3 linked regions of the Neurospora crassa OR74A genome follow. The protein of the gene in region 3 purifies or fractionates together with the protein of the main gene of each other region. This does not show direct contact. Links are inferred from orthologs where the notes say so. Each region holds a gene or a part of one and is shown on either strand. Other genes may lie near its edges.

Region 1 (5,241 bases), on a different chromosome or scaffold from region 3:
GCCAGAGGACGTTAAACAGGTTCCTTAACCTCAACTGCCGTAACGATATCTGACCGGTTGGAGGAGTGTTTCGAAGAAAGGATCAAAAAGAAGCAACCCTGACGTATCGTATCGCGATGGTGTCGGTGGCAGGGTGTATGATCGGCCCAGACGCGCTCCACACGCCACACTGAAACCGGGAGCCGCAGAGACGGACTCTCGGACTTCACACCTCTAACATGATAGCCTTGTTTCTTCCTCTCTCTTTCTTTATGATCATCAAATTCGCCAGGGGTCTCCCGTTGGTGGAGGCCACCTGGACTCATGCATTTCCGTCGTATGGGTATTATTATACAGAGTTGTCCTTCCCCCGCAAGGCTTCCCAAGCCGCAAGCAGGCAAGTAAGCAAGCATCCCCACAAATCAAGCCATCTTAACCACCTTGTCGTCGTCGAACTCGATATCGATGATGCCGTCCTTCGTTACCGCCTTGACCGTCATGCCCTTGAAGTCTATGGGTAACCTCCTCTTGAGCTCGTCGGTGCACAGGTTGAGAAGCTTGATACCCTGGTGGAGGGTGATGTCTGGGTGGTGGTGCTTGTCGAGAATCGAGAGGCAGTAGTATCTGATGAGGAAAGAACCGGTCAGTGATTCTGTACATGACTCCTACGCATCAAAGACGGTACAGAGATATCGGTCGAGATCACATACTGTGCGTAGCCGTGGGCGGCATAGGGGACCTTCGCCAACGACGCAAGGTAGTCGAGCCAGTAGAGGCTGGGCTTGTGGGTGATAGGGTCGACACCTCCGAGAAGGAGGTTTACGTTGTAGGGTTTGCGGGAGCGCAAGCTCGTCGCAAGCTCGCCGCGGACAAAGTTGGCAAGGGCAGAAGGGGAAAGGTCGGTCCCGTTGCGCATGGAGTAGAGCTGGGCGTTGGCTTGGGTGTACTCGGCGAACTGCACTGTCGATGGGAACAAACAGTTGGTTAACTTGGTTTGGTTCAAAAGCGCCATCATCACGATATCGCTGCCGTACCTGTGTCGCCAGCTTCACCGGAGAATGCCATCAGTGTGTGCTTGTTCAGCGACCTTGTCTTGTCGTCGGATGCCTTCAGGATGGTCGCTCCCCGCATAGCGGCCTTGGACGCCGCAATGATGGTAAAGTCCTTGCCCGTGATGCCTAGTAAAACCTCCCTACATGCTGATCAGCTCTGATATCACCTCTCCAAGACATGACCGATGCGACGTACATTTTGGCTGATTGTTATGTGAGTGAATGGATGATATGCTGTTGTTTTGGTAAGCTTTGGCAAGTTGCGTTGGCTTGCACGGTTCTCGTCGTTACCTACCTATGGCGGGACAGGGCAGTTGGAGCTTGAACTGACGGCGACGGGGAACGCGCACTGGAGCTTCAGCCTGCAAGCTGACAAGACAAGCACGGGCCAGGCTGTTCAGGTGCCCGCTATCGTCTTCCATCTTTCCATTCCAGTCCCCAGAAGGGCTGAAAGCTGCAACCACTGGGCAGGCAAGCAGACAGCGAGAGAGACAGCCCCACTCCGTCATGAAACCTGCCAGGATGGCCCGGGGACGTCTTTTGGAGACAGCAAGAGCCTCCCCACCAGCCGACTACTAACAGCTCGCTAGCTCGGTTCCGCGTGACAGAGCCCCTATATCTGTTAGTGACGCAATAAGGTAGAGTGCACGGCACGGGGATTCCCTTCTCCGACTCGTTCAATTGTGCCAAGCCAGTGGAGGAGATCTTGACGAATCGGCGTGCTACTCCACCGATAGAAAGCCTGCAGGGTGGGCAACTTTTTTTTTTCTTCGAAGTCCATCGGGTCGGGTGTGTCTAGGCGCGAACGGCCATCCCAAAAATTTCAACTTTGATAGCCATGCAGCAGCGTTGAAGTGAAGCCGAACGCGACCCCAATTCACATTCCAGTGTCATTCTCTACCACCAGACGACTCCAGTGCATTTGCACCGACCGCCCCGGGCCGCAATTGCCAACACCATGTCGTCCTTTTTCACAGCACCCGCTGGGGAAAAGAAGAGGAAGCGTGCCTCTGCCAACGAAGCCCCCCAGAAGCGAGTTGCGACTGGCAAATCGACTGCCAAGTCATCGTCGGTCAGAGGCCCTGCCGCCAAATCACGTCCCGCAGCCCCCAAGAAAGCCGTTGAGCGCGACGAGTCGATATCCGGCAGCGACATTGACAGTGACGATGGCGACCACATTGAGAGAGAGGACGGGTCGGAAGGAGAAGAGGAGTCGGACCACGAAGGAGAGACGGCGGCTGAGAAGCGGTTAAGATTGGCACAGCGATATCTGGACAAGGCACGACAAGAGGTGGAACTGGAGGACGAGTATGCCTTTGACGCCGAGCAGATTGACCGTGATTTGCTGGCCGAGCGTCTTCAGGAGGATGTGGCCGAGGCCAAGGGCAAGGTTTACCGCCAGTTGGCTTCCAAGCTCGACTTTGACAAGGCCGCACACACACAGTTTCGATGGAATTCAGGAACGGTAACATCAGTCTCGGTTTGCGCGCCGTACGCTTACACCACCACGAAAGACGGCTACCTTACCAAGTGGAAGCTACAAGACCTACCCAAGAACCAGTGGCCACAGACGACCAAGAAGAAGCCAAAGAAGCCGCCTGCGCCGCCCAAGAAGAAACCCGAGAGAGTGTGCTTCAACAGGGCGAACCCGATCAAGGCAAAGGACAAGACATACCAGGGACACACCAACGCGGCCATCCTGACGGTCAGGGCCTCTGCCGACGGCAAGTTTGTTGTCACCGGCGGCGCCGACAAGCGAATGGTCGTCCATGACGCCGAGACCCTCAAGCCCCTCCGGGCCTTCACCCAGCACCGCGACGCCGTTACCTCGCTCGCCTTCCGCCGCGGCACTAACCAAATATTTTCTGCCTCCAAGGACCGGACAGTAAAAGTCTGGTCGCTCGACGAGCTCGCCTACGTTGAAACACTCTTCGGCCACCAGGATGAGATCCCCGACATCGACGCTCTGGCCGGCGAGCGCTGCGTGTCCGTTGGCGCGCGCGACCGGACCGCCCGCTACTGGAAGGTTCCCGAGGAGTCGCAGCTCGTGTTCCGCGGCGGCGTGTCGGAGAAGAAATCCCATAAGAACCGGGACCAGGCGGTGAACCACGATGGCACCATGGACCAGGTGGCCATGATCGACGACGAGCTCTTTGTGACTGGCGACTCGGCCGGCACGCTCTCGCTGTGGGGCATCAACCGCAAGAAGGCGCTGTTCACGCAGCCGTGTGCGCACGGCATCGACCCGCCGCTCAAGCCGACCGAGGTGTCTGCCGACGCGAATCCGGACGAGAGCGTGGTGCCCACCCCGCAGCCCCGCGCCATCACCGCCCTCCGCACCATCCCGTACTCGGACGTCATTCTCTCGGGCTCCTGGGACGGCTTCGTGCGCGTGTGGCGCCTGAGCGAGGACAAGAAGAAGATTTTGCCTGTTGGCGTGCTCGGTTCCAGCACGGCGCTGCAGCAGCTTGACCAGGCCGAGGCCCAGAAGCAGAAGGAGGAAGCAAAGCAGAAGGCAAAGGCGGAGAAGGAACCTGCAACCGCAAGCAGTGGGGAGGAGCAAGCGGACGACGAGGCCTCGGTGGATGGGTCGCAAGACAAGAAGAAGAAGCAAGAGAGCGGGCTGATTAGGGGTATCATCAATGACATTGCCATCTTCGAGCGCGGCAACCGCGGTCGCGACGGCATCTGCATCGTGGTCGCCACAGGCAAGGAGATGAGGCTGGGAAGGTGGAAGTACATGAAGGAAGGAAGAAACGGCGCTACTATCTTCGAGGTGCCCAAGGTTGCTAGGCGAGCGGGGGCTAAGGGGGAGGAGAGCGATGAGGAGGAAGAAGAGGAGGAATAGAGGAAGAAGATGGGAACCATACGTACGTTTGTTCTGTCTTGTTTTGTCTACCTCGTTTGACGGAGCGGGACATGGGAGAAACGCGGAGAATGAGGAAGAAGAGAGCCAAATAATCATCGCCTGTTGAAATTTGTTACAAAGTGCTCTGGACGTTATATCGCATTCGCGACAGCCAAGCTGTTCATAGACAAAGGAGAAGGAGAAAGTAGAAAGAGCAAGTATTGTACATACCACACTATATCTTTTAGGTAGCCTCACTGCATTTGAAGGGAGTTGAAAAGTTTCTGGTCATGAATCCATTCCACTAGATTTCCGATTAAGTTGTGCCACACAGAGCCATTAAAATACTATGGAATCTCTCACCAATATATCATCAAAGGGATGGTAAACTTCTTGTAATGTGCTCTCCGTGGAAAAAAATATCAACAGAGGATTGGTAGTTTGTTAGATCACGCTGCGCTACTTCTTCCTCCAGCACAAGGTTGAGGCTCCATCATCTAGCTCGAGACTGAGATGGCCACCCGACTCAAAGGTACTCCTCGAGGCCTAGCTGGACGTCAATACCGCCAAATATTCCGCCTGCATGATAAGATGTACAAGACTTGGGGAGTTCGAGAGTTTCAACTCCAAAACAATCAAGCAACGAGCTTCAAAAAAGACAACGCAGCCATGCTATACCAGCCATCGAGGCCTCAAGACCATGCAATGCAAATGGGCAGATGCATGAATGAATATGCTTACACCAACAATAAACATACAACAATGAACCAATTCAACGCTCTAACCAATCCACATACTCCTGGTCTTCACTCAGTTCTCATCAGTCAAGTCAATAGGCGTCATCTCCGCGCTTTGCACCGCAGGGATGTCAGACACGACCATCGCCGGAGGGGGTGAATCGGGGATCTCCTCGGACTTGGTCTCGGCCGTTTCCTTGGGCTTGCTGGGACGTGGCTGTCGCTGATGATGTTGCTGTTGTTGTTCTACACGGCGACTCTTCCCGCTACCAATTCCGCTTCTATCAGTATCGTCCACAACTCTCCTAGGTATTCTGGACTTCTGGCGGGTATGTTTATCGCTTTTTTTGTAGGTAGTTTTGTTTCCGTGGTTGACGTGATTGTTGTCCTTCTGCTCGGCTTTGACTTTGCTGCTAGTCGTCGACGGTCTTTGAGCTTCAGGAGTCGGGGGATCGAAGATCTCGATCGATTCGAGGGGTTGCGCTACAAGCTCAGGTGAAGGCGCCGTCTTACGTGCGGGTGGTGATGCCTTTGCCTTGCGTGCTGGTGACGATCTTCGCTTCCGTTCGACCAAAGGTGATTGCGGCCTTGGCGACTGTGATTTTAGCGACAGTAGCTTTGGCGA
Region 2 (5,089 bases), on a different chromosome or scaffold from region 3:
TTTGAATTATAGCCGCGGGACGGACACGCCGACCGAAGGGCAACTCCATACTGCTGTGTTTCCTTGTCTTCAGTCATTTTCTTGTTATTTGTTGTTTGCTTTTTCTTTTCTTTTTCTTCAGATGAGGCTCCGCCATCAATAGCGATAACCGGAATTACATAGTTTCGTTGAAGTGTTGAAAGTTCCAGGTAGGGATGAGTACCATGATGAAATTGGTGGGTTGGGTAAACATCACATGTAAACAACATCAGGAGTAGATAATGTACGTACTGAGGGTTGGCAAATGATGAAATGATCTTAAAACTCCTACTAGTAGATGATATGATAGACATGGTATCTCCAACCCATGATCCAAATATTGCACTTGCACTGAACGCTGATGATGATGTATACATGACAGCAACAACAACGGCACTAACAACAACACGGCCAACCACAAACTTACTCCGACTGCTACCCCCGAACCTTCTAAGAAGTAGCCATTTACCTCTTGTTCTTCTTGAGCCTCGCCGCCTTCTCCCTTGCGTACTCGTTCGCCGCCTGGCCTTCCGATCCCTGGATCTCCGCCACCAAGCGCTTGTACTTCTTCTCGTACGCCTCGTCCTTGGCCTTCTTGACCTTGAGGTTCTCGCGCTGCATGAAGGCCGCGTCCTTGCGGAGCTCCCTGAGTGCGCCCTTGCGCTCCTTCTTGTGTTCGGCCCGCAGCTTGGCCAGCTCGGCGCGCTCGCGGTCTGGGTCGTAGTGCTTGTTGGGGTCAAACGAATCCTCAAACTTGGGCACGTACGTCTTAATGGCGAGCGGCTTGTGGTGGTGCAGCTCGAGTGGCCTGCGGGAAACCTGGGCGAGCTGGAGGAGGCGGGAGATGCTTGTCGTTGCGTCCTTAAGCTGCTTGACGAGGGCTGCAGGGAGCTGGGCGGCGTTGGACTTGGTTGTCAGGTGTTGGAGCACGCGCTGGGCGGGCTGGAAGGTCTCGTAGAATGCGGGGAGTTTGCACCATGTTTCGGAAGCAGTCCTGAGAACGGAGGTGATGGTGCTGATAATGGCAACCTTCAGAGCGGAGTCGTCGCTGGTGGAGCGAGCGCTCTTGGGCTGCTGGCAGTCACCGCAGTTGAGCTTCCTGACGGTCACCTTGCTTGCACCCTTGACACGGATGCCAGCAGCGGGCTCGTGAACGGGGAACAGACCAAGCTTTTCCTTGGGCTTCTCAGCAGCGAGCGAGCAGAGAGTGTTGAGGCAGAAGTTGACAAATTCTGGTACGTAACGCTTGGAGAAGGATTGGTACTGAAGGGCGAGGATCGAAAGGTAAGCACCAATGGAGTAGTCGGCGAGTGTCTGGGGAATTTTCTGTCCCAAATAACGGGTGATGGAAAGCATCGCAGGGGTGACCACCTGATGGAAGTGATCAGAAGTAGGGTAGGTTGTGCCAATCGCTGTCAGAAGCATAAGGTCGCCGACGCTAAGGGCAAGGGGCCGATCCTCCTTAATCTCCTCAAGCCGTGACCTGTAAGCCTTGGATATCTCGATCGGGAAGGTCTTCGCGAGTGAGTGGACGTGGCGGATCAAGTTCTCAATGGTAGGGAACCAGGTGGGCTCGAAGTTGTCGCCAAGGTAAGCGATATGCTCGATGAGGGCCCGGGAGAAGTTTCCAAGGCGCTCCTTGTTCTTCGCGTCCAGCTTGGGGTGGTAAAGAGCTCTGATCCTCTGGACAGCCACTGGAAGTTTGGCCACGGGAAGGCTGCCCAAGATCTCCAGCAGCTGCTCGTGACTCTCGGGACATGTAAAGGTATAGGGTATGCCGTCCTCGTCGCCGCCTTTTGACTGAGCTTGAAGTTTTGTGGCCACCTCCTTCGACTCGCCGTCCTCACCACCATTCACAAGCTCGTCCTCATCAGGATCATAGGCATCCTCGTCATCACTCCCGTCCATGTCCGACATGTCGTCCTCGTCCATATCCAACTCAGAGCCGCTTGCGATAAGGTCGTCTTCGAGCAAGAAATCGTCTTCGTCGTCCAGACCCATCTCGGTGGCGGTCATTCGTAGCTTGATACCCTTGCCGAGGCCGAATTCGTCCTCGTCGGCCTCGTCTTGTACCTCTTGGTCGTCTCCCTTCTTCCTGCCCTTCTTCTGCTCCTCCTCCTCCTCCTCCTCGTCATCCGAGACGATCTCACCCCGCATGCGCCTGAGTCGCTTTTCCTCCATCTCTTTGAGACGCTTAACTCCTTCCTCCGCCTTCTCCTCGTCGGTCTTTGTCCTGTCGGTAACCTCGGCCCTGGCTTCACGCGCTGCCTGCTTGAGACGCATGTTGTATTCCTTCTCAAGTTGGTCCATGTCGATTCCTGCCATAACGGAGGGGCCCTTGGGGTCCTTCGTTTCCTTCGGTCTCATCTGGAAGAGTAGGGACTGCAATTCTGGGAGTTCCTTGTCAAGTTCCACTCTTAGATCGTCGTCCTCCTCCTTGGCTGCTTGTCGTTCCTGTAGCAATTACTGTTAGCTGATGAGTGGAAGTAGCCGGCTTAGCGGTGCCCCTTACGTATTTGAAGGCCTTTGACTTGGCGATAACCTCCTCCATAACTTCCTTCTTCGTCTTCTTCCTCTCCGGTTGTCCATCCTCTCCTTCACCTTCCGCGGCCTCTTCCTCAGCGCGCAGGCGCTTGAGGAACTTCTTTCTGGCTGACCGCTCATCGTCGGATTCCATATCGGAAACGTCCTCGTCAAAATCGTCACGACCCGCCTCAATGTCGTCGTCGTCAAAGAGAGTCTTGCCAGCGTGTGTAAGGGTGACCTGTTCTTGCTCGTCATCGGAACCCTCCAAATCGAAGACGGTGTTCTTCTTGTGGCTCTTCATCTGCTCGCGCGCGAAACGTTCCATCATCTTGTCCTCCAGGGTCATGTTGGGGTCGTCCTCGCCAAAACGCCTATCGACAATGCCGCCGACCTTGTTGCGCCTCTGCATTTCAACCAGTAGAGTTTCCCGTCGCTGTTTATGGCACAGTTAGCATCAGAACCAGTAAATCGATCTGAGTGGGATCGACAAACCCTCTGCTCAGCGGTGGCCTTCGCAACGCCGGGGCGGCCCTGAATGCCCTTGGCGAGTTTATCATTTTGGGGCTTGTTGGTGGTGACCTCGAACTTGGGTCCTCTGGCGTTGGTCTTGAACTGGAAGGGGTTGAACTGCTCTCTGATGCTGGCGAGAGCTTCGTGGCGCTGGAGTCGCTTGTCGGTGGAAGCCTTCGCGTCCTGGGCGTTTTGGCGCTTTTGCTTCTTGGATCTCTGGGGACCGATGATGCCTTGGTCCTTGAGGGAGGCCTTCAGCCTCTTGAGCTGAGACCCGGCCATGTTTGTTGAGATGTCTCGACTGTCGACTTGACAGGGGAGTATTGAGAAAGAAAGAGGGAGGGAGGGCGTCGCGAAGCGGGTTCGATCGCAAGACCAGCAATCAATAGGTTGTCTTTGGCGGTTGGTTCCTTCTCAGAAATTTTGGTGATGAAGGGTGCTTATCTTATCGTCATGCTCCACCTCTAAAATCTTGGCAGTTACCTACCTACATACAAGTAGTATTGTCCACAGGCGCGGGCAGCAGAAGCATCCTGGCCTGCCCGTGCTGCACTGTAGCTGCTAAAAGACGAAGCTCTACGGGCGATGCTATCCAGGTCCCAAAAACTTACCCTTTTAAGGAAGTGCACAGACTTCTTTTGTTCTCAAGACATGTCACTCGACCAAATGTGCTCTGCAACCCAGGATGCAGCATTTCACCCAAAAAGCCCCCTTTTGGGCCAGCTGAGTTGCGAAAAGGAGTTTCCCAGCAGTATTTGACTTGCAAAGATAAAAGAATTCCCAATTTTCTTGGTGGAGGATCCAAAAAGTTGAATGTATTGTTAAGTACAAAGGTCTTGGGATACATGCTTGACTAAATGCTTAGGGTGGGAAATTTGGGACCTGGATAGACTGTCCCGCTCTACAGCGGGTGTCACTCCACTGACCAGAAGTGAAGCTCTCCATCGTCATCCTCGGGCTGCTCATGGTTTTTTTATTTTTTTATTTTTGGTTTTTTTCAGTGTTCCGTCTCAATCTCAAAGTCGCGATGTGATGAAAAGAAAAAGAAAACAACACATAAAAGTCAAACTACCTATGCTGAAGCATCATCTTTCATCACCATACCGTTATTATGGGCTGGCAATCGTCGGTTCTCCGAGATGAGAGGGTCGTCTTCACCGGCATTGGCTTCGTCACGGCGAGCTTGATCATCTTCGCCATGAACACCTGGCTAACAAGATGGCGAGACGAGACCATTGTCACCCCCAATCCGCCAAAGACGCAGTACATCACGCAGCAGACCGAGGACTCGCTCGAGCTCAAGACGCTGGACACCTTGCTGGGCCACTACAACTACGCCATCAAGGAGACGGCTGCCAAGATAATCTGTGATAGGGCTGCAAATGACCCCGGCCTCCTGGAGACGTTGCTCTGGGGCATCACCCGTCCAGATTATGACGAGCGTGTCAAGAACTTGAGGGCTCTGGCTGTCATCTGCGTCCCTCGTGAGTATCTCAACACTGCTTGAAAGTTTCCAACTCACTAACACGGCTTCAAGGAGTTCTCCCCATGCTTCACACTTGGAAAGCATACTCCGCCATAGTCCGGTGCCTCGAGCTCTCCCTCGACCCGGAGCAGGAGGTTCTCGAGAATGATGGATGGGACGATTATCCATTGAGGGATATCACCGAAAAAATGTGCTTCATCTTTCTTGAGCAGCTGGTCGATCATTACGGGCCAGAGATGCTGATCCGCTCCAAGTTCGTTGAGCGTTGGCTATCCAGGCAAAATTGGGGCAGGACTGAGGAAGACAGACAGCGCAACTTCCACAACTATATGCTGTACAGGGACAACAAGATCAAGAGGCTTGCGGATGCGGTGCGCAAAACTGGATCGGGAAGGTCGGTGCTGGTCAGATGTGGTCTCATGTCCCAAGAGGGGGCTGACGACTTCGCGGCTGAGCAGGCCGATAACCTGAACCTCATGGACACAAGCGGCGAGCGCTATAACCTCCTGCTCTCTATTAACATGGGTAGGACCCCGCGGGCGCAGGAGA
Region 3 (5,055 bases):
CATGTCCTTGATGAAGGCCGTGTTCTTGAAGATCTTGTATGGTGTACCGGTCTGGACGAGTTGTTAGCATCAAAAACACCATACACAATAGGGCGGAGGGTAACATACCAGCTTGAGCTTCTTGACGATCTCGGTAGACTCGTCTACGCTCAATACTGTACCGGTAGCCGCAATACGGAACCCGGGGTTGGCGGAAGAGAAGGACTGGAAACATGTGAAACCCGTATTGGGGGCACACAGGGGGCCGTAGAAGGTACCGAAGCAGTGCATGTGCTCCGGAGTATACTTCAGCATCCTGTTTCTCGTCCGAGAATCAGAGATGGAGTAGATGGGAAGAGACTGGAATCGGCGCCAGCCGAGGGAGAAGATGAGGGGATCTCCCGTCTTGAGAATCTTCTTGTGCCAACGGTGCTTCTTGATTCTAACTTGCACAAAGCCGAATCTGTCCTCCGTGGCCGAAAGACCTCCGACAACGATCGGCATCCGTGGCTTAAAGTTCTTGACGAACTCTGCTGGGACACCCTCGATGACCATCCTGGCGTACTTGCCGGCCTTGTAGCCTTCGACAGCGATCCTTTGGCTTTCATCAAGGTTCTCGTATTCCGCCTTGTTGATGTCGAGCTGCTTCTGGATCATGGCCTTTTGAGCATCATACCAGTCGTCCTCTCCAAACTCGTCATCATTGCCACCTTCTCGCCTGGCAATCGCCTTGTCGTTCTTGAAACCTTCACGATCTTCCTCTTCGAAGCGAAGCTTGAGCTCCTCCTTTCGGCGGGCGTTCTTCTCACGCTCGGCTTCAAGGCTTTCTGCTGGCTGCTCCTCTCCTTCCTCCTCTTCTTCTTCTTCATCCTCGTCGTCAGCGCCGTGCTTCTCCCCTGTCTCGAGATCCTCAAAGGCACCGTCACCTTCATCATCGTCGTCCTCGTCATCAAGACCCTCGAAATCCGAACCATCTTCGCCCTCGCCCTCAGCGTCGTCAAGTAGGTTGGCGGTGGCGAACTTGTTTCGGAGAGCCTCGACAGCGTCCTTGTCAGACCACTTGGCTTCTAGTTGTTCGTAGTCGAACTTGGGAATCATGCGATCCTCCCAAGAGTCCTCCTTGTCCTCCTTGCCAGTCCTCCGGAAGAAGGTTTCGTCGTCCTCTTCGATATTCTCTTCGATCTCCTCCTCGTCGTCTTGACCGGCCCATTTCTTGATGGCTTCTGTGGGGGCCATCGACTCGTCGTACATGTACCTCGCCAAGTCGACAGCGCGGAAGGGTTTCCTCCTTCCGTGTATCTGACTTGCGCGCTCCATTATGTTGTCCTTCCACTTGAGCTCAGGATCCTCCTCGTCGTCCTCGTCATCGTCAAAGTCGGATCCTTGGTCTTCATCGCCGGATATCGAACCAAGGTCGGAGTCACTGTCGGCAAAGGCGATGTCCTCTTCTTGGTCGTCGTCGGTCTGTTTCCTGAACATCTTGCCCAGCTTCATCTCGTTGAACTCGGACTCGACATCGGATCCATCCTCCATCTCATCTTCCTCTCCGCTTTCGAAGCCTTCGTCCTCTGGCGGTTCACCACTCTCACCATCGGCAAGTCTGGCGGTTCTTCGGCTCTTGCGGCCAGTGTTTCCGACATCCTCGTCCTCGACAGGGAGCTGGTTGATCTTTTGTCCGCTCGCGAACAGCTTGACACCCTCGTCCGTTTGACCAAGGAGACGCCTCTCGTTCTGCAGGTCGATGATGAGCTGTTCTCCTTCGCCGCGCTCAATGCCCACAGCATCCTTGTCAAATGTGAAGCCGTTCTCCCTAGTGATAACGATGTGATCGCCAGTAATTTTCAAGCCGCTGCGGTCCGCCATGGGCGCCCAGAGCTTTTTGTCCTTCTCGTCGAGTCGCCTTCTGCCAGTCTTGCCACTGGCCTTGGCCAGCGCTTGTTCCATAGCGGGAGTCGGGCAAGGATCCGGCAATTGTTCCATCTCTTTGATTGTAAAGTCGCCCAAACCAGCAATATGTACCCTTTGGCCCTCGGCGGAAAAGTTTGTACCACGGAGGTAACCGGAGAGTTCAATCGTTCGGTCGCATTTCTCGTCTTCTTCAATCTGGGTGGGGTGGGTGACATCGCGGTAGTTGTCGATGATGGTGTAAGGGTGGGAGTTGCGCCAAACGAGCGGGCGGGGGTTCTTCATGACGGACAAGAAGCGGGAGAGGTTGTGGATTTCGCGATCGGGGTAACGGCCGTTCAGGACACCGGAAAGGTAGAAAAGGTGGGCACCCTGGTAGAGTTCGCTCCAAAGTCTGTGCTTTAACCTCTTCTTTGCCTCCTTTAGTGCTTGGGGCTTCCTGAACAGGTCGAGATGGGTGAGGATGCCAAAGACGTTGCCGGGCATACCCGTGGCGGCAAGAACGTTAAGGAACTCCATAGTCTCCATTTCGAAGCCGAAGTTTCCATCGATCATGAGAAGGACAATGTCGGCGACCTTTGCAATATCGACCATGGCCTCGAGTTCGTTGGCGCATTCGATGAAGGTCAATCTCTGCTTCTTGGAGGTGACGACCGTGATAGGTCCCACCGGATCTTGGATGGTTTCCTTTGCATATCGTCGGATGAAAGACTTGAGAAGGGTGGTCTTTCCTACGCCAGGGGGGCCTACGATGGCGACGAGTCTTGGGGGTGGTTCATCGGGGAGACGGTCGACGGCGGGGACATGAAGACGCTTCTCTTTGATCTGCGGAACAAGACCAGTTAATTATAAGAAGTCATTGAAGGATGGAGCGAGGGAATGTCTTCTTACATCGTGGGATCTGGCGGCTTGTCTGGCGAGTTTACCAGGATTGGAGAAGGCAAAGGCCTTGGGGTTCTTTTCTGCAGGGACGGTCAGCTGTGGATAGTAACGATAAAAGAAACAATTGAATACACATACCACCTGTATGCTTGGAGGCCCCCTTCTCCTTGGACTTCTTGGAAGCCCGATGGGGTTTGTGGGCTTGGACGTCGGCCATGATTACGGCTGGTGTCCGTGAACTTTTTGCAAGTTCAGTAGTATAGATGGACACGCGGTCGCGAAAACAGGTGCAAGTGGAAATGCGACGGGACTCGCTCCCAATTCAACTGCTGCCAAAAAGCTGCTGTCCAAATTTTTTGGATAGTCGGTTTTCTGATGGAACGCCAAGACGTTTATCGATAAGCGATAAGATACCTGAATAGTGGGACCTCTTTCCGCGGCAGGCGACGGGACCTATCCCCGGCAGCACCCGCTACTAAGCAGTGGCAGCATGCGGGGAGTTGGAGACCCTGACAGGCAGTCCCGACCTTCAAGTCTTGGAACCTTGAACAACAGACGAACCCAACGTATAGTCCCGTTTCTTATCTTCAACCAACTACTGGGTGAGCTGTGTCTTCGGAGTAACTATTTCCAAAGGTTTATACGAAGATATTCCGTTGGGTGGTTGAGATATCTTGTGCTGTCTTGAGCATGACCAACCTAACTACCTCTATTGTACCAAGCCCTCCCTCACTGGTGGAGACTACATACCACGCTATGTAAATGCATTGGATTGTTCAGGGACCTCCCAACAAACGGTTGAAGAAGAGTCGAGACCATGAAAGAGCTATCATAGTTGATAACTTGCGGCCTCGACATAGGAACGTCGAATGGGCCCGCAAAGTCAAACAGCCATGGGCCATGGCAGCCCTTCTTGCATAACACACCATTTTGAGGGTTACATACGTAATTGTCGCGGGAAGGAGGGTTTCCGATTTACACACATGAGGAGGGTATGGCGTATAGGCTAGGCTCAGAGTTACAACAGATAGGTAACAACATCCAAGATCCTGAGTAGCAAGATGGTCGGAAGATGACTGGATCCATCCTCCCACACCACTCCTAGTGTCTCAGCCCGCGCCTAAGCGCTCGTTAGGTGGTTGTGTGCAAGGCTGTCTTGTTGGGCGCTGAGATGAAGGATTGTCTCTGTCATCCCCACGCCTGGCAGCCAAAAGAGTGTCACAAGTCACAAAACGACCTGCGGTAGGCGCAGCAAGTCTGGTCCAAGTGGATATGACGTATCATCCGCTCCAGAGAATGCTAATGTCCCTGGTGCCGCGTCACTTGTGGCTCCTGACGGCGTGGCAGGAAGACCAATCTAGCATGATTGCCGCTTATCTGGCACATGTGCATCTGTGGTGTAGGTAGTTCGAGTCCACTTGTGCATGTCCCTTGATCACGTATAAGATGCTCCTTCGTCCGCTCCTCGAGACGCAGTACCGACTTTCCAAGTTCACGACCAACCACTACACTCTGTTTCAACATTTCCATACAGCAACACCAACTTTTTCACCAAACAACCCTCCCACCACCGCAAAGATGCCTTCTTACATTGTAAGCATGCCGCACTCGCGCCTCACACTACCCATAAGACTCTTATTGACCTCAGCTGTTCACTATGTCAGGTTACCCTCAAGGACACCGCTACCGATGAGGAGATCGCCAAGACCAAGGAGGACGTCAAGGCGCAGGGCGGCAAGATTGGCCACGAGTACACCCTCATCAAGGCCTTCCAGTATGACAGCCTCCGTCTTCAGAATTAGACACAAGAGCTGACCCTCTCTTTTTAACTGCAGGGCCATCTATCCCGAGGGCGCTGTTTTCACCCTTGAGAACCACGAGCACGTCAAGGGCGTCGAGGCCGACCAGGAGGTCAGGACCCAGTAAAAGAGCGCATCCGATTTCAACAGCATGTTTGAAGCATTAGGCGTCAAGGACAACGACATTGGGAATGATATGACATTAGCCCGGGAAGGACAGGTATAGGATGAGACTACAGTCGCCTGCTCAGAGAGAGAAGCATGATCTGGTGATGGATCTCATGCGGGGCACCAATCGCGGGGTAACAGCGAGACGGAGGTTACCTAGTCTCAGCTACATAGTGTTGACAGCGACAGGGGGCCCGGGGCTTACCTGCCGGTTTCGCTGTCGTTCCAGTGACACTCTCCACTGGAATAGATAAAGGCGGCCATTTGATGATTGTTATGAATTCAAAGAAAGATTTCCAATTTGCACATGTTGACTTGAATC

The links. Proteins that work in one complex are often made in the same cells at the same time.
Region 1: the proteins of NCU04348 (region 3) and NCU01367 purify together in Saccharomyces cerevisiae (affinity purification with mass spectrometry; 4 studies listed by BioGRID). This does not show direct contact. The link is inferred for Neurospora crassa OR74A from reciprocal best matches to the Saccharomyces cerevisiae genes BMS1 and RRP9.
Region 2: the proteins of NCU04348 (region 3) and NCU07393 purify together in Saccharomyces cerevisiae (affinity purification with mass spectrometry; 4 studies listed by BioGRID). This does not show direct contact. The link is inferred for Neurospora crassa OR74A from reciprocal best matches to the Saccharomyces cerevisiae genes BMS1 and NOP14.

What each region holds. Positions count from the first base shown.
Region 1 is NC_026505.1:3,790,481-3,795,721, reverse strand, and holds NCU01367 (rRNA processing protein RRP9), read left to right. Parts: upstream 1-1,802; 5' UTR 1,803-1,989; coding exon 1,990-3,879; 3' UTR 3,880-4,195; downstream 4,196-5,241. Other genes in the region: pcb-4 (proteasome component C11, variant), read right to left, coding at 402-603, 690-939, 1,014-1,171, 1,228-1,229; NCU01366 (hypothetical protein), read right to left, coding at 4,690-5,241. UniProt on the Saccharomyces cerevisiae protein: Involved in nucleolar processing of pre-18S ribosomal RNA. Required for efficient pre-rRNA cleavage at sites A0, A1 and A2, and biosynthesis of 18S rRNA.
Region 2 is NC_026501.1:6,086,046-6,091,134, reverse strand, and holds the start of NCU07393 (rRNA maturation protein), read right to left. Parts: upstream 3,440-5,089; 5' UTR 3,337-3,439; coding exon 3,037-3,336; intron 2,978-3,036; coding exon 2,531-2,977; intron 2,473-2,530; coding exon 484-2,472; 3' UTR 1-483. Other genes in the region: NCU07394 (hypothetical protein), read left to right, coding at 4,166-4,538, 4,592-5,089. UniProt on the Saccharomyces cerevisiae protein: Involved in nucleolar processing of pre-18S ribosomal RNA. Has a role in the nuclear export of 40S pre-ribosomal subunit to the cytoplasm.
Region 3 is NC_026504.1:3,692,001-3,697,055, reverse strand, and holds the start of NCU04348 (ribosome biogenesis protein), read right to left. Parts: upstream 3,084-5,055; 5' UTR 2,984-3,083; coding exon 2,905-2,983; intron 2,847-2,904; coding exon 2,776-2,846; intron 2,710-2,775; coding exon 109-2,709; intron 52-108; coding exon 1-51. Other genes in the region: NCU16822 (hypothetical protein), read left to right, coding at 4,213-4,359, 4,431-4,540, 4,602-4,692. UniProt on the Saccharomyces cerevisiae protein: GTPase required for synthesis of 40S ribosomal subunits and for processing the 35S pre-rRNA at sites A0, A1, and A2.